Linked DNA regions of Macaca mulatta. The protein of the gene in region 3 binds, or shares a complex with, the protein of the main gene of each other region. Links are inferred from orthologs where the notes say so. Each region holds a gene or a part of one and is shown on either strand. Other genes may lie near its edges.

Region 1 (8,200 bases), on a different chromosome or scaffold from region 3:
GAAGTGTGGGGAAAAGAGAGATCAGATTGTTACTGTGTCTATGTAGAAAAGGAAGGCATAAGAAACTCCATTTTGATCTGTACTAAGAAATTGTTCTGCTTTGAGATGCTGTTAATCTGTACCTTTAGCCCCAGCCCCATGCTCACAGAAACATGTGCTGTATTGAATCAAGGTTTAATAGATTTAGGGCTGTGCACGATGTGCCTTGTGAACAATATGTTTGCAGGCAGTATGCTTGGTAAAGTCATCGCCATTCTCCATTCTTGATTAACCAGGGGCACAATGCACTGCAGAAAGCCGCAGGGACCCCTGCCCAAGAAAGCCTGGGAATTGTCCAGGTTTCCCCCCACTGAGACAACCTGAGATATGACCTCGTGGGAAAGGAAAGACCTTACAGCCCCCAGCCCGACACCCGTAAAAGGTCTGTGCTGAGGAGGAGGAGTGAAAGAGGGGGGCCTCTTTGCAGCTGAGATAAGATGAAGGCTTCTGTCTCCTGCTAGTCCCTGAGAATGGAATGTCTCAGTGTAAAGCCGACCATTCCCATTCGTTCTATTCTGAGACAGGAGAAAACCGCCCTGTGGCTGGAGGTGAGACATGCTGGCAGCAATACTGCTCTGTTGCTCTGTGCTACACTGAGATGTTTGTGGAAAGTGAAACATAAATCTAGCCTATGTGCACATCCAGGCACAGCACCTTTCCTTGAACTTATTCATGATACAGATTCCTTTGCTCACATGTTTCCCTGCTGACCTTCTCCCTACCTGTTGCCCTGCTACACTCGCCTCACCAAGATAGTAAAAATAATGATCAATAAATACTGAGGGAACTCAGAGACCGGCGCCGGTGCAGGTCCTCGCATGCTGAGTGTGCTGTTCCCCTGGGCTCACTGTTCTTTCTCTATACTTTGTCTCTGTGTCTTATTTCTTTTCTCAGTCTTTGGTCTCCGCCTGACGAGAAATACCACAGGTGTGGGGAGGCAGGCCCCCTTCAGGAAGAAAGCAGATAAAGCCAAAGTTGCACAAGTGATATGCAAATGACTCAAGTGTGGAAAATAGGATACTACAGCAATGATTCTAAAACTTTAATGTGTATATGAACCACTTCTTAAAATGCTGATGGATTCCTTAGGCCTGGAGTGGGGCCTGAGCTCTGCATTTCTAAAAAGCTCCCAAATGAAACCAATGCTGATGATGTGAACACCACATTGAATAGAGGGCTTAACACATGCTTCTAAGATAGTAACTTCCAAGACATTAAAGGTTTGCTATCTACGCAATGAAAATACACAGTTGCTCTAATTGTTGGTTGCTTATGCTAGAATGCTCTATTCACACCTGCCCTGGCTAACTCCCTTTCATGACAGCATTAGTAGTTAAAATGAACCAGGATGTAAGTTCCAGCCGGGTGGCCTTCAACAAGGTACTTAACCTCCCTAAGGTTCAGTTTCTTCAACTGTAAAATAATGTGACAACCAAGAGAATGGTCTCAAGCAGCATTTAGTCAGTAACTAGAATTCAGACATGCAGTGATTACATCAGAATACATTAGATGACAGTAAAGAATCGTACTCTGATAGGCTACATGTCCACAAGATGAAACAGCGGCAGTATAAAAGGGAAGTTCCACATTCGGTGTTTTTAAAAATAAACAAGATAGGGAGAACATTGATGAAAATAACTGAAGGATTTTAATTGACGTAATGCTCCCAGCAAGTCAACAATGTGATCCTCTCCCACCCCCACCCTCAAAAGTAACATAAGGTATATGTCCACGTGAAGAAAAGAAAGGACCTCTGGCCCACTGTACTCTGACCACACATGAAGGCCTGTGTTTAGTTCCTGGCTGAACTGCATAAAGTACCACTGCCAAACATCCAGCGGAGGGAACCTGAACTCCGGGACACCACGGCACAACGGCTGAGGGTAGTTGAGAAACACAGATGGAGAGAGATGTTATAGTGACACCTACTGGCTACCAACGAAGCAGGCCAAGTGGTAGAAAGTGTCCCTTCCACCAGCTGGAAAGCAGCTAGTAGTGACAGCTGCTCTCAGCTTCAGCCAGTTGTTGACTTGGGAGAATTAAGATCTATGGTTACTAGATCTTCCAGATTTGAAAGAGTAGCGGGAAATCTGCATTTGTTATATAAAACTTTCTGATCTTCAAATGTTGGCAAGTATTAAAAAAAAAAAAAAAACTAAAATCTTCTGCAGACTGAATAAAATGCCCAAAAGGGGCTAATCTGCAATCTCTCTTGAATGTAAGTATCTGGAAGGTTGTTGTCCTCAAGAGGGTATAGAATGGTTCTAGCTCAATCCAGGGACAACCAAGTTATCAAAATTAATGTCACCAGTAGTGGGACAAATAGACTTCATGTGACTGCAGATAGATGAAGGATAACACTACAATCAGACTAGAGCTACAAGGAGAGACATTATATCACAATATAAGGAATAACTTTCTAACATCTGGCTAACAATCAAATCAGCTGTCCCTGACAGAGTAACATGGGCTCAGTGAAAACCTCCAGAGTGTAGATGACCATCTCTCGGCAACGTTTTGGGTAAGATTAAACTTGTTGGTGGCTAAGGCTTCCAACACTGAGTCTGTAAATCTACATACATACAACATTTGTTGAAATCTATTTTTCTTAAAAGTCTTTTCTTTGGATTATTAAATGGATAAAAAGCCAGAAAAGGTGCAAAGGGTCCTGAAGGCAATATAAGATGTATATGCTTCGTGAGTCAATTGTTATTGGACACAGAAAAGTGACTTCGAAACAAGTTTGAAACATTTTCCTCTCAAACTTTTTTTTTTTTAAGGTTCACTATTGCTTTCTACCTGCTTAAGACAAAGCAGGGATGAGTTCAAGGTGTTTTTTTTTTTTTTTTTTTAATCATTAAAAGGGAATAGGTTTGTGGTTATATGCTTCTTGCAATTCAGTAAGCCTTAACACAAAAGTGTCGCTGAATGACCTGAATGGTAAATATATATATATATATATATAAATGAGTTAATGCATATGAAGCATTTAGCACTGTTTCTGGCACATAAGAGGCCTTAAATAAAAGATAGCAACTCTAAGACTCAGGTTAACATCACCTCCTCCAAATAACCCCAGAAACACCTTCCTTACAGATACCCTCTTTTAATTTCAGCCCATGGCTTATGTCACTTCATTTACAGACTGTGAGTTCTTCGGGACCAGAAACCTGGTGAGATGGGGAGGGTGGTGAAAGACAAGGTCAGACAAGGCAGGGCCAGATCATATAGGGCTTTAGCCCAAGAAAAGAGACTGGATTTTATTCTGCATGGTATGGAAAGTCATGGAAAGGTTCTAAGCAAGAAAGTAAAGTGTTCTGATTTATATTTTTAAATGACTAAGTTGGTTTCTGTGTAGAAAGCTGTTTTGCTTGGTTTGGTTTGGGGTGGGGGGGGGGCAGGAAGGTAAAAGTGGAAGCAGAGATAACCAGGGAGTAGATTACTGCAGTGATACAAGTTAGAGATGAGAGTGTCTTGTGTTAAGATGGTGACAACGAAAAGAAGTGGAGAGATTCCAAATACATTTTTGCCAATGTGAAACGAAGAAATCTATCATATCATAAAGTATACACATGCTTAGGATTATAAAAATTAAACTTACTTTAGATACTTGGCATATTCTGGGTCTTTCCAGTAAAGCAAGTATTTAAGATAATTAACAAAAGCTTTGTCTTTGAAGTAACCTCTTTGGGCAAGAACTGAAAAGCATTAAAAAAAAAAAATGTCTGTAGGTCAAACCAATCTTTAAACTATGCTTTGTTACCCCTAATGTAAAGGATCTATTTACATAAAACCCCCACCACCAACACACATTGAATTCAAAACACAAATCCCAGTGCGCAATTATATCTATATACCAGCATAAGTGTAATGTCATTCAATTGAGAATGTGTAAAAGTAGATACTATTTTGAATTGCAACTCTTCTGTCAGAAATCATTAGTAGCTACTCAATTTAATGAGGTGCTTAACAACTTACAATTAAGGTAATTTGGGTTGGCTAAACATTGCACAAATTCCAACTCCAACTGAAACCGAAGTCGATTTCCAGCATCATCTAGGAGACAAGACAGCAAAAATCATGGAAAGTAAGGGTCACTGTATATAATACTGATTTGTAGTAAGGAAACAGCAATAAAGAAACCTGACTAATGCCGAGATGGTCTTCCTAAACTGGGAGTTGGGGGAGATAAACCTTTCTTCGAAATCTAAGAAAAGCGGAGCCCTGATTAAAAGGAGTTAGAAGTTTCTCTAAAATTAAAGAGAAATCATCAAAGAAAGCAGCAACACAAACGGAGAATTCCTAAGATCACTAAGGTAGGCTGTAACAACTATGGCTTCCCCTATGTTAATAATGCGTTATAACAATTGTTAACAGTGATTAAGTTTTGCAAAAGCTACGTGCTGAATCAGTTAAGAAAAAGTTAGGATGCAAGAGACTGCGCAGAGCCTAAAAGATCATGGAGCGTATGCATATAAGAAGCACCAGTAGCAGAATGACACATAAAGTCCGGCGACGATATTTCAAACTTAGGCAAGCTCATGTGAGAAGCAGAAAACCAATCAAGGAGGAGACGGTTTAACACACAAGTCCTCTCCCTTAGTCTCACCCACGCCGGGGAGCTGGTAGGGTGGTGTCTGAATAGCAAAGATGTGCGAACAAACCAAATTAGGAAAACTGCAAAGAGTACCTTAGTCTTTCTAGACGCTACAAGAGCCTTCTCACCTCCTTGTCCAAATATTAACCCTGCCGAGAGTAAGGCCTGGAAGGAGGCCACGGGGAAGCCGTCTGGACCGAGGGGAGTTCCATCTGCGAAGACTCCAAGATCAGAGAGCTACTCACCTGTCTCCATAGCGACGGCAGCGGCCATAACAAACGAAGACACCAAAACGCCACCAGCCTGACCGAGCAAAAGCCCAGAGTGGCGGGGGAAGTTCCGGAAACCACGGCTCTCTCTTCCGGTCCCGGGGCACTGTGGGATATGGGGCCGGGCGGCTCCGCCCATCCCGCCAGCCCTGGGATGGCTCCACCCGCGCTGGCTCCAAAATAGCGAGGGGGCGGGGCCCGGGCCGTGGGAGCGCCTGAGGGGCAGGAGCCCAGTGTTTTTAGCCTTGGAAGGATCATGGTGTTTCCACGTCATCGTGTTGTGGCGCTCCCGGCTATGGCAGTACCGTAGTTTTCCTCTCTTCTGCCTGCGGTGACCGTTGGGCTGGGGGGTGCCCCGAGGCCTCCTTGGCCCCCTCACGCCGGCAGAATGGCCTCAGCCCGAGGGGCCAAGCAGTCTTCTCCCCGGGTGGGGACCACCCGCTACACAGAGACGTCCACAGTCCGCGTGGAGACCTCGTCCCACCGTGTGGAGACCTCGTCCCACCGCGTGGAGACGTCGTCCCGGCGGGTGGAGACCTCCCAGCGCCGCAGCGAGGGGCCCTCCCTCTCCCCCTTGGGGAAGCGGCTCCCTGGCATCCTCGAGGCGTCCTCCCGGCACGTGGAATCCTCCTCGCAGCGCACGGAAACGACGTCCCGCCACATCAGGGCCTCGTCCCTGAGGGTGGAGACGGCTCTGCACTGCGCGGAGAGCCCAGCCCCGCGGGCCAAGCCGGCCGCCCGCCAGAACGAAAAACCGGCCCGATGAGATGCTGCTTCCCAAAGGCCACCAAGGGGCCAGGGCCCTCAGCCAGGACAGAAAGGCCTCCAGTTGCCAGCCAGCCAGCCAGCTGCCAGGTGGACCAATCATTTTCGGTTTCATGGAAACAAACCATAAATCAATGGAAGAAACAGCCAAGCCGCAGTTTCTGAACACAGCCAACGTTTATTGACCATCCTGCGTCTTGGACCAGCCTACTTTTGACCCAGTGAACTATTTTCACTTGAAGCCAGCACAAAAGATTTTCATGCCCAGGATGCTGTCTAAATTGGCTTGATGGACAAAGAGGCTGTTTGAGCCTCTGAGCCAGGTGAGTTTGGGATCCACAGCCCTCAGAAGACCTTCACCCCTTAGGAACAGAGACCAAACTGAAATCATGACCTGTGGAATGATTCCATGCCTGCTAGAAACTTGAGGGGCAAGGAACAGACTCATAAATTATTAATGGCCTTTGTTTATGTTTCAAGGTAACTGGTGGTTTTCTTTATGCTAAGTCTTTGTACCTGGCACTCCCATCCATACACTTTTTAAAGGTAGGTTAGATGTAGTTAAAAATGACAGTAAACCCACCAGCAAGCAAAAATAATCTTAGAAGAGAAAGTGAGAGGAGGCCATTGAAACCTGGTCTGAGGTTTGAAGAAGATGGAGAAGAGTCATATTTATTGAGAACCTGCTCTGTGCCAGGTACTAGATGTTCCTCCACTTACAATGGGGTTACCTCCCATTAAAACTATTGTAAGTTGAAAATACGGTAATTTGAAAAGGCACTTAATATCCCTAACCTACTAAACATCATAGCTTAGCCTAGCCTACCTTAAACATGCTCAGAACACCTAACGTTGAGCAAAATCATCTAACAGAAAGCCCATTTTATAATAAAATGTTGAATATCTCATGTAATTTATTGCATACTGTACTAAAAGTGAAAAACAATGGTTGTATGAGTGCTCAAAGTACTATTTCTCCTGGTCGCTTTTGTACCATTGTAAAGTCGAAAAATCATAAGTCAAACCATCTTAAGTTGGGGACTGCCTGTATTCTGGGAACTTGGGCTATAGCAGTAAAAAAAACCAAAGTCCCAGCTGTAGTGGAGCTTACACTCTGGTGAAAAGGCCGACAAGCAATGACAAAACGAGACAATTTTCTATTGTGATTAGCACTATGAAGGAAATATATGGGTCATGTGATAGAGAATGGAAGTAAGAGGCTTCTTTTGATAAAATGGTCGGGGAAGTCCTTGCTGATTAGGTAACATTTAATCTGAGATATGTGTGAATGAACAGTGATCTGGAACATGTGCATTCTAGGCAGAAGAACAGCAAATACAAAAGCTAGAAGGGAACAAGCTTTGAATGTTCAAGGAACAGAAAGAAGGCCAGTGTGGCTGGAGGGAGAGAGAGGCGATTATATAGACATGGAAGCAGAACTGAAGGGAGGAGTTAGAAGCAAGCAGGGGCCAGTCCACAGAAGGTCTTCTAAGCCACAGAAAGGAATTTGAGATTTATTCTAAGGTCAATAGGAAAACATTGAAGGGTTTTCAACAGAGGAATGATATGATGCCATTTACATTTTATGTGGGACAGTGGTCCTCAACTAAGTGTGATTTTGACCCCAGAGGATATATGGCAACCTCTAGAGACATTTTAGTTTGGTAGACAAGTTAGGGGGAGTGGGTAGCACATTAGGTGCTACTGGCACCTAGTGGGTAGAGGCTGGGGATGCCACCTCATATCCTACAGTGCACAGGTCAACACCCTTCCCTCTGCCAACAATGAAGAATCACTGGTCCCAAAATGTCAATAGTGCCGAGGCTGAGAAACACAGTTCTAGCAGCTTGGAAAGCTAGAGCATGGTCCATTAGGACAGCATGCCACTTCTACATAGCAGGATTGTAGTGAGACCTAAGAAACAGTCATGGAAGAGGGTTGACTTTAAAGGTAAAGAGAAATCATTAAAGAAAACAGCAGCACAAATCGGACACAATACCTACCACTTGTGGGCCACTGTGTAGGAATTTTAACAGTGATCACTAAGGTAGGCTGTAATAACTGTGACGTCCCCTATTTTAATAATGCATTGTAACAATTGTTAACAGTGATTAAGTTTTGCAAAAGCTACCTGCTGAGTCAGTTAAGAAAAACTTAGGATGCAAACTGAACAAGAGACTCCAAAGAGCCTAAAAGATGATGGAGCATATCATATGTAAGAAGCACAAGTAGCAGAATGATACACAAGTCTGGCGACGATATTTCAAACGTATGCAAGCTCATATGAGAAGCAGAAAACCAATCAAGGACACACTTTAAGACACAAGGAGGACATGCTTTAAGACACAAGTCCTCTCCCTTAGTCTCACCCATGCTGGGAAGCTGGTGGGGTCGTGTTTGAATAGCAAAGATGTGCGAACAAACCAAATTAGCAAAACTGCAGAGTACCTTAGCCTTTCTAGATGCTACAAGAGCCTTCTCTCCTCCCTGTCCAAATACTAACCCTGCCGAGAGTGAGGCCTGGAAGGAG
Region 2 (7,978 bases), on a different chromosome or scaffold from region 3:
GTAACAAGTATGTTAGTATGTTGACAGAGTGTTGTTGTTTTTTTTTTGAGATGGAGTCTCGCTCTGTCGCCCAGGCTGGAGTGCAGTGGCACAATCTCTGCTCACTGCAACCTCCACTTCCTTCCTGGGTTCAAACGATTCTCTTGTCTCAGTCTCCCAAGTAACTGGGACTACAGGCACACGCCACCACACCCGGCTAATATTTGTATTTTTAGTATTTTTAGTAGAGACAGGGTTTCACCATGTTGGCCAGGTTGGTCTCGAGCTCCTCACCTCAGGTGATCTGCCCACCTTGGCCTTCCAAAGTGCTGGGATTACAGGCGTGAACCACTGCACCCGACCATCAACAGTATCTTAACAGAAATTCTCAATATTGGCCTGAGGTTGTTGGGCCAGCAATCAGGATCAATTTTTGACAGGTTAGGAAATGAAGCTCAAAGACTTAAACTATGTTGGTCAAAGTAATGCAATTAGAGTGATGGCAAAGCCAGCCAGAGGCATCTTTCTAAGGAGCCTCCTGAATTTACGGTCAGGCTCTGGAGTCAGATGGACCTGGGTTTGAGCCATGCACTGAGAGACTGGAAATGTCACTGCACACCTCTGAGCTTTACCTAATTACAGCCTAAGAATAATAACAGTATCTACTTTAGGTGGTGGTTCTGCTGATTATGTGAAATAATGTAGGTAAGGACATTCATTGTAACAATACGTTGCATGATAATACACATTATAACATGTTGCTCATGAGTCTTTAGCAGAGAGAGAAGCAAACTCCCTTGTGTCTCTTCCTATAAGGGCACTAATTCCATCATGGGGGCTCCACCCTTATGCTAATTACCTCCCAAGGGCCAGCAATCAGGATCAATTTTTGTGGTAGTTCCAGAGCTAAGTTCACGTGTCTAAGACTTCTCTCCTTTTATTATGCACTCTCATCTCTTCCCTGCTTTCCACTCTTCCCCTATTTGTTTTTTTTTTTTGAGACAGGGCCTCTCTCACTCAGGCTGGAGTGCGGTGATGCGATCTCGGGGCTCACTGGGCTCACTGCAGCCACCGCCTTCAGGGCTCAAGTCATCCTCCCACCTCAGCCTCTGGAGTAGCTAAGGCTACAGGCACATGCCACTATGCCTGTCTAATTTTTGTTTTTTGTTTTTTTTGTTTTTGTCGCAACGGGGGTCTTGCTACATTGCTCAGGTTGGTGTTAAACCTCGGCTAGGATTACCGGCGTGAGCCACTATGCTAGCCATCGACTCTTCCTCTTTTAGTTTAATCTGCCTGAAACAGCTAGCTGTTCCATGTTTGGAGGCTTATTAGTGAAGACATTGTTTTCTCCTCACCACCTTTTTGGGGATCCGTTTCTTGAGGACTGGGAGAGCCTCTCTTCACAGCAGCACTCCTCCGGACACCCAGGTCATATACTCTCGGGAAATGTTGGTTATTGAATGAATAACGCCAAGAGGAAGGGTCTGCTCCCAACACGGCCTTAGCACAGTGCCTGGAAGTTGTAATAGATTCTGGCACATAGTAGGAGCTCAGGAAACATTTATATAATGAATGAATGAATGAGTGCACACAGTAACTAGGAGAAAGGGCTCAATACACATTTCTGTATTAAACGCACAGTGCCTGGAACACAGTAAGCGCTCCCTCTGTGGCAGCCGTGAATATCCCTGGGCAAAGACTGTGAAACCTAGTCCAAGAGCTTGGCTTCACTGTGCGCGGGTTCGAATCTGGACTCCTCTTCCCAGGTGTGCGACCTCGGGCAAGTGACTTAATCCCTTTGTGCTTCAGTTTTTTTTCTCTGTAAAAGGCGGACGGCGGCGCGAGCCTCCGAAGACACACACTTCCCAGAGCACTCGGACCCGCTGCCTGGTCCACAGCGCGGCCGCCGCGCCACGCCAGCCGGCCTGGGCTGCGGGGACACAGGCCGGGGGCCCCGCGCCCGCTTCCGCGGCCGCCACGGGCGCGACCCGGACCCACGGTCCCGCCCCGGACCCACGGTCCCGCCCCGCCACGATCAGTGCACCGCGAGGGGGCGGGGCGGCCACGAGGGGCAGCCCACGGCAGCCACGGGCCGGCAGTCCGCCGCCCGCCGGGGAGCCCGGCCGCCTGCACTTCTTTCTCTCCCTCTCCGCCTCCCTCCCTCCCTCTTCCCGGCCCGAGGACCCGGCCGCGCTCGGCTCAGCAGCGCCTCCCGCGAGCCGCCGCCGCCGCCGCCACTCCGGACCCCTCCCCCGCCCGCCCCCTGCTCCCCCCGCGCGGCCGGCGCCCGTCACGTGACCCGGCACCAGCCAATGGCGGGCCGAGCCGCGGTCGGCGGCCGCCATTGCTGTCAGAGCAAGCGAGCCCGGGGAGGGAGGAGAAGCGAGGCTGACTGGGGAGGAGGGGGGGGTGGGGGAGGAAGAGGAAGGAGGGGACGTCGCTCGGCTGCCGGGGTCGCCCGCTGGCTTCGTCCGCACCCCCCCCTTCGCGAGTTCGCGCTCCGCGGCGGCGGCGGCTCCGAGGCGGCGGCGGCGGCTCCGGGGCTCGCCTCCCCTCGCGCGCCGGCGGGGGCCGAGGGGGAGTCGGTGGCTGGAGATAAACAAGGCGGCGGCAGCGGCGGCGGCGGCTGAGGAGCAGGGAAGGCGGAGGCGGCGGCCGGCCCGCAGCGCCGGCCCGGGAGGCAGCGGCGGCCCTGAGAGGCGGGGTGGGCGCCGGGCCGCACGGACAGCGCCCCCCGCCGCCGCCGAAGCCGCCGCAGCCGCCGCCGCCGCCCGAGCAGGAAGGAGCCGCGCGGCCGCCGCGGACCCCCCCGCCAGCCCGGGCCCGCCGCCCCCGGCGCGGCGTCGCCGCGGCGCCTCCCGCCTGCCCGCCGGCCCTCGCGCCCTCCCCCGGCGGCGGCGGCGGCCCGGCCGCCCCGCGCTCCCCGGCGAGGCGCCGCCGCCCGGCCCGGCCTCGCCTCGGACGCCTCGCTCCGACATGCCCCGCTCTGGCGGCCGGGCTCGCGGAGGATCATGACTGCGGCAGCGAACTGGGTGGCGAACGGGGCGAGCCTGGAGGATTGTCACTCCAACCTCTTTTCGCTGGTGAGTAGCCGGGCTGCGGGGAGGGGGCTGTGTCGGGGAGGGGGGGCTCCCCGACCTCCGCCGCCGACCAACTTTCTCCTCCCGCCGCCGGGACTTCGCCCCTCCCTCGCGTCTCCCCGCCGTTCGCCTCTCGCCGATTCTCCCCCTTTTGGATCGTCTCTTTCTCGCCTTGGATCCCATCCAGTGTTTATTTGGCTCTTTAAAAATCATTTGTGAGCGCGGCGCTCGGCGTGGAATTTGCATGTGGAAGTCTCGGAGCTGCGGATTCTGGGTCGCACTTCGAACGCCCACCCTCTGTTGCAATTGCACTCCCCTTCTCCTCCCCTTTCCCCCCTTTTTTTCCCCCCTAAATGTGGAAGGCTTTGCCTTGTGCTGCCCGCGCCTCCGATCGGCAACCTCTTCCCCGTTGTCGGATCGGCTGCCTGCCCGCCCGCCCGCCCGCCTGCCTTTTGAATTTTTTTAAATTCCATAATGACACCTGCAATTTCGCCCGAAAACAGTTGATTGAATGCGATTGTGTCAGGAAAGGACTCTTGCACCCGAAGCTCCCGCGATTGTAAACATCGACAGCCGCTTGCCTCTCGGGGCTTACTACGCTGGAGAGCCGTAAAGCCATTGCACCGAGCCGACGGAAGGTGGAGAAAGCTTTTTTTTCTTTCTCTCCTTCTGTGTCTTTTAAAAACTGTTTTATCTGTCCTAACAACGAATCCACACACACACACACACACAAAAGCAACAAGCTGGGCGGTTTGATAACATCGCTTTTATCTGCTTTCGCCTCTCTCGCGCTCTCTCTCTGATAATTGACAACTTTTCCTTCGGATTTGAATCGCCTGCCTTAATCTTGAAGCAGTTAGGGTGTCAATTGTTCTCGTGGAAGCCTGGCACCCGCCGACGGCGTCTAGATTCATCGAAATTAAAAATGTATAGGGCTCCAGCAACTCTTTCCTGGCGGTGGCAGTGACATTTGGTGGTAAATGCCATCTTTGCTTTTTATTGGGTCGTATTACCTACCTCTGAAAACATTCACGTTGTTAAACCTGGCGTTTAGGCTAATAATTGCAGTGCGTGGTCTTTAAATATGTGCTTTGTGCATGAGTTACTGTATGTATAGCTATGTGCCCAGGAGAGTACGAATTTGTTTAAATATTGAGCAAAGATTTGTAAACAGATATAAGGCAATTACGTTTCAAGCGTAGAATATAATTGGAAAATTGGCTGAACAGTTTATTTAATTTATCCTTAAAAACACCCAACTTAGTTGTGTACCCTGGTTTTTTTAGGGGGAGGTGAGTCCCTTTTGGAGAACATACATTTTGGAAATTATTTTCTGTAACCCCCGCTGTAGATAGAAGCATCATTTCCCTCTTAATCCTTGTTTACACTGGATAAATAATTTAGTGTTCAAATTGTAATTAGTTACATTTAATTATGGGTGGCCTAGATGCTTTTTTGCTATGAGACTAATGGAGAAATGCAAATTCTCGCCAACTTTTCAAATGAAAGTATTATGTTATTAAATGTGTTACAATGCAGACCAAAAAATCAACACACGCGATTTTTACCTACAAAGACCGAGTGACATAGTATCATTGATCCCACTCTAGTAAGATCAGGTAAATTTTTTTAAATGAAATATTTTAATCCAGATATTTCATCTTAAAATTCAGTTATAAGTTGGAATTCTTTCTCTTAGTATTTTGATAATTTTCCCTTGATTTTTTTGGTATGTGGGAGTAAAACCCCCTTTTGCCCCTTCTTTTTCCCTCCTCAGTCTTATCATTTGGTATCAGTCAGGTTCAGGGACTTTCACAGATTAGCAAACATATTGATCAAGGGGTACTTAAAATGGTTTTTGTGTGGTTACTGGTGATCACATTGACACAGGTAATTAAAATAACCAAATAGAGAGATCTCCCAAATTATCATATATTATGCTGACTGGTAATGATTGTGTATATACAGATTGTGTAGACGTATGAAAGTGTATGTATAGCCAGTCTTTTAGGGTATATCATTTCTTTTATCTTTTTTTTTTTTTTTTTTTAAAGCTTAAGTAAGAATGATAACGTTACAGAGATAACATGCTTGAGATTCTTTTGGAGAGGCAGTTTTGTAGGAGAGGATTCTGTACTTTGATTTTGACTGACTAAAGGTTTGTGTTTCAGATATTTCTCCCCTAAACCTCTTTAAACCAAAGGATTGATTTTTGAATATGCTTTTAAAAATAATTATTTTTTAAGTAGCAACTTTGAAATAGAGAACTGTAGTAATGCTTAGTTGATTTTTTTTTTTTTTTGAAAGGAATGTAGAATGTCTTCATTGTCTTGTACATGGAGTGTGGATAAGGTGCTATTAAAGAAATCTAAACTGCTGACTTGTACATTTTTCTGATTCCAAATTGATATTTTTTTTGAAAATGCTATACAGAAGCAGCAACCTGGAATATTAAAAGTATGTTGCCTAAAGTACATTGTATATAATAGTTATTTCTGAAGGAGATCTAATCCCTTGTTCAAAATAAAGCATATTTTTTATAAGAACGCTTTATGGTTTAATCATAGCTTGCATTTTTTTTCTTTTGGCCTGCAGATTTTTTTTTTCTTTTTTTTTTTAAAGCAGAGAAAAGTATTTATAAAGAATTTACCTAAATACTCTCATTACTTAGATTGAAATAAGAAATTAAAGTTCTGTACCATGGTAATAACACCCAGTTTCCATTACCTTGAGGTGTTCATTATGGCTTACCAAAAGTTGATTGCGCAGTCAATCAGACACCTTAAGATTTCTGCTAGTCTTTTACTTAATTTTCTGATTTTTTATTGCATGGAATCAAATTTCCTAAATTAATTTTTCAACATCCATTCCCTTTTCCTAACGTGTGAAAAATGCCCTTGTGTATATACGATATGGGTGATTGTATGTGTTTCTTATTCTAACCGTGAGATTTGTAGCTGCTGCATTAAGTGCATGCCTGGCTCTGCCTGTCTGACGCAAAACTATTCTCTTATGCTGTCCATCACATTTCTGGGTGACTTTTCATATATTCACTCAGTTAATCGTTCAAAGTGTGTTAAATCTGCCTTTTTGAAAAGTGTAACGGGGCATCCTGTGGTATGTGAACTCATTCTTGCGAGAAGACCTGGTTTCTGGATGTTAAGTATGTATTTTTCTCTATTGAGTTAATACGGAGAAAGTGATTTTGTGCCCTTTAACTAGACTTAAGTATGTGTTCTTTGATACGAGGGAGTGATCTCTAATTCTTAGATATGTATCCTCCACTTTCATGTCTTATTTGCTTAGAATCTTCCTGACTATGGATAATTGGGTGATAATCTCAAATTCTTGCTGGATTGAGACACTCGTACACCCATTAGTCCGTAATTCCTATTGAAGACTATTAATTCTATATTTGAAGCTTTTAAGGTAATCTATTGTTGACCTAATTTCTTTTTGTCTTAAGCGTTTTTTTTTTTTTTTTTTCCCCAGAAAGGGAAGACAGTTGCAAATGTAGAAACTTCGAAATCTGTATTTTTTTTTTTTTGAGCTAGAATAGGGTGGACTATAAAAGGCAAACTAGGAAAAGGGAATGGTTTCTCTAATTTTCAAAGTGCTAAAATACACAAGGTATTTTTTTGTACAAGTTCATTGTGATTTTATAATTTATGTTTAAAGCATTTTTTTCCTATGATGGTTCATTTTCTTTCCTTTTATTTTTTATTTTTTCGAGATGGAGTTTCTCCTTGTTGCTCAGGCTGGAGTGCAAAGGCGCGATCTCAGTTCACCGCAACTTCTGCCTCCCAGGTTCAAGCGATTCTCCTACCTCAGCCTCCCGAATACCTGGGATTATAGGCATGTGCTACCATGCCCGGCTAATTTTGTATTTTTAGTAGAGACGGGATTTCTCCATGTTGATCAGGCTGGTCTTGAACTCCCGACCTCAGGTGATCCACCCGCTTTAGCCTCCCAAAGTGCTGGGTTTACAGGCATGAGCCACTGCACCCAGCTGTCATTTTCTGTAATGAAAATATTTACAGTTTGTTAATGTATGTTTTTGGTTTAGCATTTTGTTGTTAGTAGCACATGGTGTTACAGTATTTATATATTTTTAATAGCAATAATTGCCACCCGGTAATAGTTGCCATATTAACCTCCAATTGCTAGTAAATATTTTTAAGTACATAATAGACAGCAATTTAAGGCATAGTGTAGCAGTTTACTGGACCGTTTTAAAGAGCCATTTGTACGTGTGATGAGTTCATAATTTTAAAGAGACAATAATGTACCTTAGGCCTGTATGCTACAAATATTTTGCTGTGGATGTTGCTTGAAGTGCTCATTGGGAAGAAGGTAGGGCCTATTCTTTGTGAGAAGAATGGGCAGGGGGGTGCGTTTAGGATAGTATGTATTTATTGAGTTTATGCCAGGTGCTTATATAGCTTATCATTTGCTTTTTTTTTGTTTGTTTTGGTTTTTTTTTTTTTGAGACCGGAGTCCTATTCTCACCCAGGCTGGAGTGCAGTGGCGCAGTCTTGGCTCACTGCAAACTTCGACTCCCTGGCTCAAGCGATTCTCTTGCCTCTGCCTCCCCAGCAGCTGGGATTACAGGCGCCTGCCACCATGCCCATCTAATTTATTTGTGTTTTTAGTAGAAATGGGGTTTCGCCATGTTGGTCGGGCTGGTCTGGAACTCCTGACCTCAGGCGATCCACCCTCCTCGGCCTCCCGAAGTGCTGGGATTACAGGTGTGATGAGCCTAGCTTATCATTTTCTTTGGAATGTTCTGGTTATTAATGAACATATTAGGTATTTATTTGGGGAAAAAAACCTACCTCTTAAGGCATTCCTTTAAATAACATTAAGTTTTGGTTGTGTATTATATTAATTTATTATGGAGAAATTGATCTTTTTTGTTC
Region 3 (7,972 bases):
GCTGGAGTGCCTGGGCCAGGGTGTGGTTGGCCTTGCTATCTGTCTGGGACTGGCCTCCTAATGGCGCAGTCCTCCCCTGCACTGATCCCTGCCCATTGCATGAGGAGTGCGGACAGGACTGCATCTCCTCTCTCATCACCCACCCACCCCCACCATGATGCAGCTTGAAGCAGGGTTTTCAGGGTCATTTGGAGCCCTGAATGAGAACATTGCAAGGCAAGGCCGTTGTTGCCAAGGAGCAAATGGGCCCATTGGCAGAGGGGCAGCTTTGTGGGAGCTCTGCAGGGACTGCTGTCGTGGCTCTGTGGTCACTCTGCAACTTTACACCCAGAGGAGACAACACAGGGGAAGGGAGGGAGGGGCAGTGGCTGCCTTGCCCTGGAAGTGGGGCAGAAGAGTAGAAAAGCCAGAATCCATGAGGCCAGCAGAATTAACAGCCCTCAAGGACGTCCACATTCTAGTCCTGGAGCCCAGGCATGTGGTACTGAACATGACAGATGTGACTAAGGGAACAGTCTGGAGATGGGGGGGATGATCCGAGATCATCTGAGCAGGCCCTGCCTAGTCAGGGAGTCCTTAGAGATGGCACCTATCTTGGCTGGGTCAGAGAGATGCCGGGCGAGAACTCGGCCTGTAGCTGGCATAAGGGGAGGGGCTGTGAGCTGGATGCAGTGCCCTCCAGAAGCTGGGAATGGCTTCGGATGACAACCAGCAAGAAAATGGGCCTCATTCCTGCAGTGTAAAGAGCTGAACTCAGCCAGACGCCGTGGCTCACGCCTGTAATCCCAGCACTTTGGGAGGCCGAGGAGGGTGGACCACCTGAGGTCAGGAGTTCCAGACCAGCCTTCAACATGGTGAAAGCCCCATCCCTACTAAAAAAATACAAAAATTAGCTGGGCGTGGTAGCGGGTGCCTATAATCCCAGCTATTCGGGAGGCTGAGGCAGGAGAATTGCTTGAACCCAGGAGGCGGAGGTTGCAGTGAGCTGAGATCATGCCATTGCACTCCAGCCTGGGCGACAAGAGGAAAACTTCGTCTCAAAAAAATAAGTAAGAGCTGAACTCTGCTAACACCTGAAGGAGCAGGAAATGGATCCTCCAGAGAGGATCCCAGCCCAGTGAGACCGAGACCTGACTTCTGAGCCCTAGAGCCTGAGATGATAAATGTGTGCTGTGTAAGATGCTGAGTTTACAATCACGTGTTATGGAAACTCATGCCACGCAGTCTTGGCAAGGATGTGGCCTGGTGGGAATGGAATGGAGCAGCCTCCCTGGGGGCGAGGTGACCACCCTGCATGGATGTGAAGCCCCGGCTCACCCGCGGCTGTCTGTGCATTAGCCCAGAGTCAAGTCTGTCACTGCCGTCAGTTGCAGCCTTGTTTTGTAATGGCGAACAGAAAGTGCCTAAGTGTCCCACAACATTCAAGTCGGGCCTTCCCCACTCTGGAAGGGATGGTGAGCCAAATGAGGGGCTCTGTTTGAGGCTGGACATTGCTGATGTTAAGTCAGAAAAGGCAAGAACCACGGTCAGTTTGGTTTTGAAATATGTGACAAGTGTAGATGTATACGCCTGCATACACAAGGGATATTTTTGGAAAAAAATGCAAGGTAATGCTACAGTGGCTGGGTCAGAGATGCCCATTTCCTTGTGTGCCCTTTTACGCTGTTTTAATTTGTATCATGTGCCTGCTTAACTCCTTTATCATGTTGGGGTGGGGGTGGGGGGGAGTTGTGTAATCTACTCACTGTGGTTTCCTCAGGGCCCCTGGGTTCCCGCCTGCCAGCCAGCCCACCAGAAACCTGTAGCTGCTGGAGGTGGCGGTTGAGCGGTAGGAATTCTTGTTGTAACAATTAAAGGAGTTAGTAATGTGTGGGAAGTGCTTAGAACAAGGTGTGGCTCCTAGCAAGATCCTAAAAGGGTGGGATTACTCGGTCATAGGATGTGTTCATGTTTCACTCTGCCAGACAAAGTCCAGCCGTTCCCAAAGTCGGCTGTACCCCCAGAAGTACCTAGTATTGTCAGTGGGGTGCGTGTATCATATATCCATTTGTGGGTTCAGTTTGAGTTTTCCTAATTATTGATAAAGCTGAGAAGCTGAGCATTAGCGCTGACATTTCATTGCACAGTGCCTGTTCCTGTCTTGTAGCCACTGTGCGCTGGGTTCCTGGTCAGCTGCACTGCTGCACAGGCATTCTCTGTGTGTTCCAGATACAGCTCCTTGGGGCTTGTGGTCTATGCCTTCTCCCACTTTGTGACTTTCTGCTCTCTTTATGGTGTCTTTGGATTCAAATCGACTGGTTTATTATGTATTGAATTTTTTTTTTTTTTAACGGAGTCTCGCTCTGTCACCCAGGCTGGAGTGCAGTGGCGTGGTCTTGGCTCACTGCAACCTCTGCCTCCCGGGTTCAAGCAGTTCTCATGCCTCAGCCTCCCGAGTAGCTGGGACTACAGGCGCATGCCAGCACACCCAGCTAATTTTTTTATTTTTAGTACAGATGGGGTTTCACTGTGTTCGCCAGGCTGGTCTCAAAACTCCTGATCTCGTGATCCGCCCTCATCGGCCTCCCAAAGTGCTGGGATTACAGGCGTGAGCCACCCGCGCCCAGCCTATGTATTGATCTTTTAAGCTTTGTGGATTTTATTCGATGAATTCTTCAGTGTCTCCTCTCCCACTCCCATCAGATGGCAGAGTAGAGGTCATTTTAAGTATCAGGAGCAGCTCTTGTTTCACAAGCATCCTGGGTTTCAGCAGGTGGGTGGATATGTACCATGTACACTGGAGGGTTTGGAGCAGACCGCACACCACACACTGGAGGAGGTCGGACAGCGGGTGAGGATGAGCACTGGGCGCCAGGTTGGCCTGGGGAGCAGGTAGGAGACTACATGGAGTGGGGGCTTCAGTGCTGCCAGCTCCTCTTGCTCTGGGGTTGGGGAGAGACTGGAGCAGGCTGGGGTAGGGTGTCCCTGCCTCCCAGGGGAGAAGGGCAGGAACCTGACAAATGGCTTTTTCTTTATTTCCACAGATCCGGAACATGGTGGCGGTGCTGGAAGTCATCTCCAGCCTGGAGAAATACCCCATTACCAAAGAGGCACTTGAGGTGAGTATCCCAGACCCCAGCATTTGGGAGTGCAGAATGGGGGACAGGGGACGGCACCAACCCAGTTCCTTCCCCAGCTTCTAGGAGCGTGTGTCTTTGCTTCAGAGGACCAAGAGAGGCGGTGTGCCCTCACAGCTTGTGCCCCGTGATCTTGCTCTCCTGTGGCCACTGCAGTGACCAAGTGGCATTAATCCCATCCTACCTGCCCAGCACACTTCATGGGCACGTGGGCACGTGGGGACATGGGGACATCAGGAGAGGTGTGCTTGGGGGAGGCTCCAATGAGAGGCGCCGTCCCCAACCCTCCACTTGAAGCAGACCCTCTGTGCTGCCGCCTTGGCCACAGCACCCTCTCATCCAGAAAGCCTCCCTGGCAGTGTCCTTACAGTGGCCTTGACAGCCCCCTGGCACCAGGAGCCTGCGGGACAGCACTGCTGAGAAGCCACCTGGGACTCTGAAGGTCTGGGGACTAGGTTTGAGAATTTATATTGTCACAAAGGACCGGAAATCCCCAGGAGTTTTGTGCCAGGGAGGCTGGCAGTTTAGGGCTCAGTGGGAACCAGGTCATTTCATTGTCAGGGCCATTTCCCACCATTTCTGGCTCAGCTCATGGGGAAGTCCCTGTCCCGAAAGTATGTCATCATCTCTCTTTCTGGTTGTAGGAAACACGACTTGGGAAGCTCATCAACGACGTCCGCAAGAAAACCAAGAACGAGGAGCTCGCCAAGCGGGCCAAGAAGCTGCTGCGGAGCTGGCAGAAGCTCATCGAGCCAGCGCACCAGCATGAGGCAGCGCTGCGGGGGCTGGCGGGGGCCACTGGCTCTGCCAACGGGGGTGCACACAACTGCCGGCCGGAGGTGGGGGCGGCTGGCCCGCCCAGGAGCATCCATGACCTGAAGAGCCGCAATGACCTCCAGAGGCTGCCCGGGCAGCGGCTGGACAGGCTGGGCAGCCGCAAGCGCAGGGGTGACCAGCGTGACCTCGGCCACCCAGGGCCACCACCTAAGGTCTCCAAAGCTAGCCACGACCCCCTGGTCCCCAACTCATCCCCCCTCCCTACCAATGGCATCAGTGGGAGTCCAGAGAGCTTCCCTGGCTCCCTGGATGGCAGTGGGCATGCAGGCCCAGAGGGCGGCCGCCTGGAGCGTGGCGAGAACGACAAGCACAGTGGCAAGATCCCCATCAACGCTGTGCGGCCGCACACCAGCTCCCCAGGCCTGGGCAAGCCCCCTGGACCCTGCTTGCAGCCAAAGGCTTCGGTGCTGCAGCAGTTGGACAGGGTGGATGAGACTCCGGGGCCTCCCCACCCCAAGGGGCCCCCTCGCTGCTCTTTCAGTCCTCGGAACTCACGGCATGAGGGCTCCTTTGCCCGGCAGCAGAGCTTGTATGCACCCAAGGGCTCCGTGCCCAGCCCCTCACCGCGGCCCCAGGCGCTCGATGCCACACAGGTGCCGTCACCGCTTCCACTGGCACAGCCGTCCACACCCCCTGTACGGCGGCTTGAGCTGCTGCCCAGTGCGGAAAGCCCAGTGCGCTGGCTTGAGCAGCCGGAAAGCCACCAGCGGCTGGCGGGGCCGGGCTGCAAGGCAGGGCTGTCCCCAGCCGAGCCCCTCCTGTCCCGGGCGGGCTTCTCCCCAGACTCCTCCAAGGCGGACAGTGACGCTGCCTCCTCAGGGGGCTCGGACAGTAAAAAGAAGAAGAGGTACCGGCCTCGAGATTACACGGTTAACTTGGACGGGCAGGTGGCTGAGGCGGGCGTCAAGCCTGTCCGGTTAAAAGAGCGGAAGCTCACCTTTGACCCCATGACAAGACAGATCAAACCTCTGACCCAGAAAGAGCCAGTGCGGGCAGACAGCCCTGTGCACATGGAGCAGCAGTCCAGGACAGAGCTGGACAAGCAGGAGGCCAAGGCCAGCCTCCAGAGCCCCTTTGAACAGACGAACTGGAAGGAGCTGTCACGCAACGAGATCATCCAGTCCTACCTGAGCCGGCAGAGCAGCCTGCTCTCATCGTCGGGCGCGCAGACCCCGGGGGCTCACCACTTCATGTCTGAGTACCTGAAGCAGGAGGAGAGCACCCGGCAAGGGGCCAGGCAGCTGCACGTGCTGGTGCCTCAAAGCCCGCCCACAGACCTCCCCGGGCTGACCCGGGATATCACACAGGACGATCTCGACAGAATCCAGGCCAGCCAGTGGCCGGGGGTGAACGGGTGTCAGGACACACAGGGTAACTGGTATGACTGGACGCAGTGCATATCACTTGATCCGCACGGCGATGACGGGCGCTTGAACATTCTGCCTTATGTCTGTTTGGACTGACCGGCCCGTCAGCCACGAAGTGCATTCCCATCTTGCAGAAGCCGGGCGGGCGGGCAGGCAGGTGGGTGGGTGGCCGGGGCCCAGCTGCCTCCTGCACTGGGAACTCGGGGAGTCCGGCCCGGGCAGGAGGGAGGGGGCGGGAGTCACGCGGTCTCTCTGCACTCTTCCCTCAAAACTCTCCTTTTGTGAAATGCTGCTACCAGTTTACTAACAAAATTGCGAAGGAAGGACCGCGTGGAAGGAAGGACGGCAAAGTGAGTTCAGAACTCTATAGCAAACCAGCTATAAAAAGCGTTAGTCCCTCACCCCTGAAGAGGTGCGGACACTTTCCAGCACCTGAAAGCTGGGACCTCAGTTGCAGGCAGGCACAGAAAACCTGTGGAGAGGTTACCTTTAACACAGCAACAGAAGCACGCATCTCATCTCTCTTGCATTTTCTGTTCTTTAATTTGGCCCTGAGTGTCTGTGAGACAGTGGGCCATGCTGCCTCTGTTTGCTCCCTACCCAGCCACTGTCAGGTCAGTGTTGTCCGTCATGTGCCAGAAGCTTCTCAGCTGTGGTGAGCCACTGGCATCGGGCAGGCGGGCCAGCTGGCCAGCCAGGGTGACCCACACTCCATGGGCAGCCACCTGTTTATATCTGGTTTCAGTTATAACCCCGTTTTTAAAGAAATGCTGCAAAAATTTAAGTTTTTTCATGTTTATTTTAACAACTCCTTCCATCAGACCACCAGACAAAAAAAAAACCTTTCCTTTCTTCCTCCCTTTCTTTTTTCCCTTCCTGTACACATCTAGAAAACTTCACCTTTCTAGAGTCCTCCCAAAACAACACAAAAGTGACTGTGGGTGCTACTGGTTTTATGCTGTACTGTGGGGCGAGGGGGAGACCTGTCTGTACGCTGGAAACACTCATAACCATTCCTTTAGATTCGTTTGCCTTATGGTTATTTGTCATAAACGCGATTTGCAAAAACAAGGAGCCTTAGTGAATGTACAGTACCTAGACTTCTGTGTTCTCAGGACGCAGAAGGGAGCAACTTTGCTATTTGGTCCAGTAAGTGGACACCTTGTGATATAAATGTGGAAATAAAAAAAAAAAAAACCATTTGCACAAACCAGTCTGAGAATCTTTTCTCATTTGGACCTTCACAGCCAAATCAGCCCTTTCCTGGATTGTAGATTAGCCAGAAAAACCTAGACCCCAACAGCCGCAATGCAGGGAGACAGGACAGGGCACTGTGCTTTGAAGTCCACCTGCTAGCCTGCTGCTGCATTTGGGAGGACCTTCACATTTTATTCATTCAGGGCCACATTAAGGAACGTTATCTTGTCTCACCCAGACTTTACCTGGCCTAGAGAGCAGCCCTCCGTAGGAGGCTCCATAGCATAGGTCTCAGTGACTACCCCCACCTTAACAAAATACCAGAGACTTAGAGCTGTGTGTGTGTGTGTGTGTGTGTGTGGCAGCCCACCCTGTGGCCCTGGCCCCCGGCTGCCTTACTAGCTGGTGGTTGCTGACTCCAAAAAAAATAGTTCTCCCTTGACTATAAAGTGATCATCTTTTAAGTTCCCCCTCTTCCCTGAAACTGTAGGCTAAGACTTTGGTTTTCTAGTTTTTCACTTTGGAATAGGTCATCTTATCCGTATCTGCTTAATTTCACAAATGAAGAAACAGCTACACCTTAAGACATGCAATCTCACAGAGCAAACCAAGGGTTCCTTCCAGCCTGTAAGACTACAGTCAGTCCAGAGCCAGTTTCAGAGCTAGCAGGGATTCCTGGCAAAAGCTTGGTGCAGAATACACTCCCCTCCCCAACAAAAGGCCATGGGCGAAGTGGCTTTGAGGGCAGGATGAGGTTGAACCCAGGCCTGCCACCCACCAGCTGTGTGGCTCTGAGCTCATCTCTTCACTCCTGTGCACATGTCCCCATTTGGGGGGTGAAAATACCTACCCCAGAGTTTTGAAAACTAAAACACACAGCATGTCAGTGGAAGTATCTGACACTCAGCTGTGCTGTAGGGTGCCTATAGTTACATTTTCCCAAGTTCACTGTGCCTATGTTTAACAGCTCTGCTGATATGTGGTGTCTCAAGGATGTGACTTTACTCTGATACACACAGGGCACAGCTGGAGGATATTAGGGTGCAGAGCTTGGCCTCCTATCAGCATCTCTAGAACTTTGGGACAGGCTGCAGCTCCCCCCTACCCCTGCCTGCAGGGACTACCATGCCTGTGTCCATGTATCCAGGAGGACCTAGGGCACTAATGTTACCTGCCTTTGAGAATGCAAGGATAAGCAAAGATACCTTCCAACATTTGGGGGGCCAAGTTGGGTTGCTGCTTTCTACTCTTCTTTGGGACTGGGTCTTGCTCTGTCACCCAGGCTGGAGTGCAGTGGCGCCATCATAGCTCACTGCAGCCTTGACCTGGGCTCAAGCCGATCCTCCTACCTCAGCCTCCCTAGTAGTGGGGACCACAGGCGTGCGCCACCACACCTGGCTAATTTTTGTATTTTTTGCAAAGACGAGGTTTTGCCATGTTGCCCAGGCTGATTTC

Evidence for each region.
Region 1: MED26 (region 3) and MED31 share a complex: the UniProt entries of both Homo sapiens proteins name them as parts of the mediator complex. The link is inferred for Macaca mulatta from reciprocal best matches to the Homo sapiens genes MED26 and MED31.
Region 2: MED26 (region 3) and MED13L share a complex: the UniProt entries of both Homo sapiens proteins name them as parts of the mediator complex. The link is inferred for Macaca mulatta from reciprocal best matches to the Homo sapiens genes MED26 and MED13L.

The regions. Positions count from the first base shown.
Region 1 is NC_133421.1:8,129,616-8,137,815, forward strand, and holds the start of MED31 (mediator of RNA polymerase II transcription subunit 31), read right to left. Parts: upstream 5,010-8,200; 5' UTR 4,910-5,009; coding exon 4,882-4,909; intron 4,096-4,881; coding exon 4,018-4,095; intron 3,738-4,017; coding exon 3,641-3,737; intron 901-3,640; exon of another isoform or gene 1-900. Other genes in the region: C16H17orf100 (uncharacterized protein C17orf100 homolog), read left to right, coding at 5,294-5,671. UniProt on the Homo sapiens protein: Component of the Mediator complex, a coactivator involved in the regulated transcription of nearly all RNA polymerase II-dependent genes.
Region 2 is NC_133416.1:123,523,893-123,531,870, reverse strand, and holds the start of MED13L (mediator of RNA polymerase II transcription subunit 13-like), read left to right. Parts: upstream 1-2,969; 5' UTR 2,970-2,990; coding exon 2,991-3,062; intron 3,063-7,978. UniProt on the Homo sapiens protein: Component of the Mediator complex, a coactivator involved in the regulated transcription of nearly all RNA polymerase II-dependent genes.
Region 3 is NC_133424.1:17,070,377-17,078,348, reverse strand, and holds MED26 (mediator of RNA polymerase II transcription subunit 26), read left to right. Parts: upstream 1-2,687; 5' UTR 2,688-2,769; coding exon 2,770-2,871; intron 2,872-3,023; coding exon 3,024-3,098; intron 3,099-3,760; coding exon 3,761-5,416; 3' UTR 5,417-6,530; downstream 6,531-7,972. UniProt on the Homo sapiens protein: Component of the Mediator complex, a coactivator involved in the regulated transcription of nearly all RNA polymerase II-dependent genes.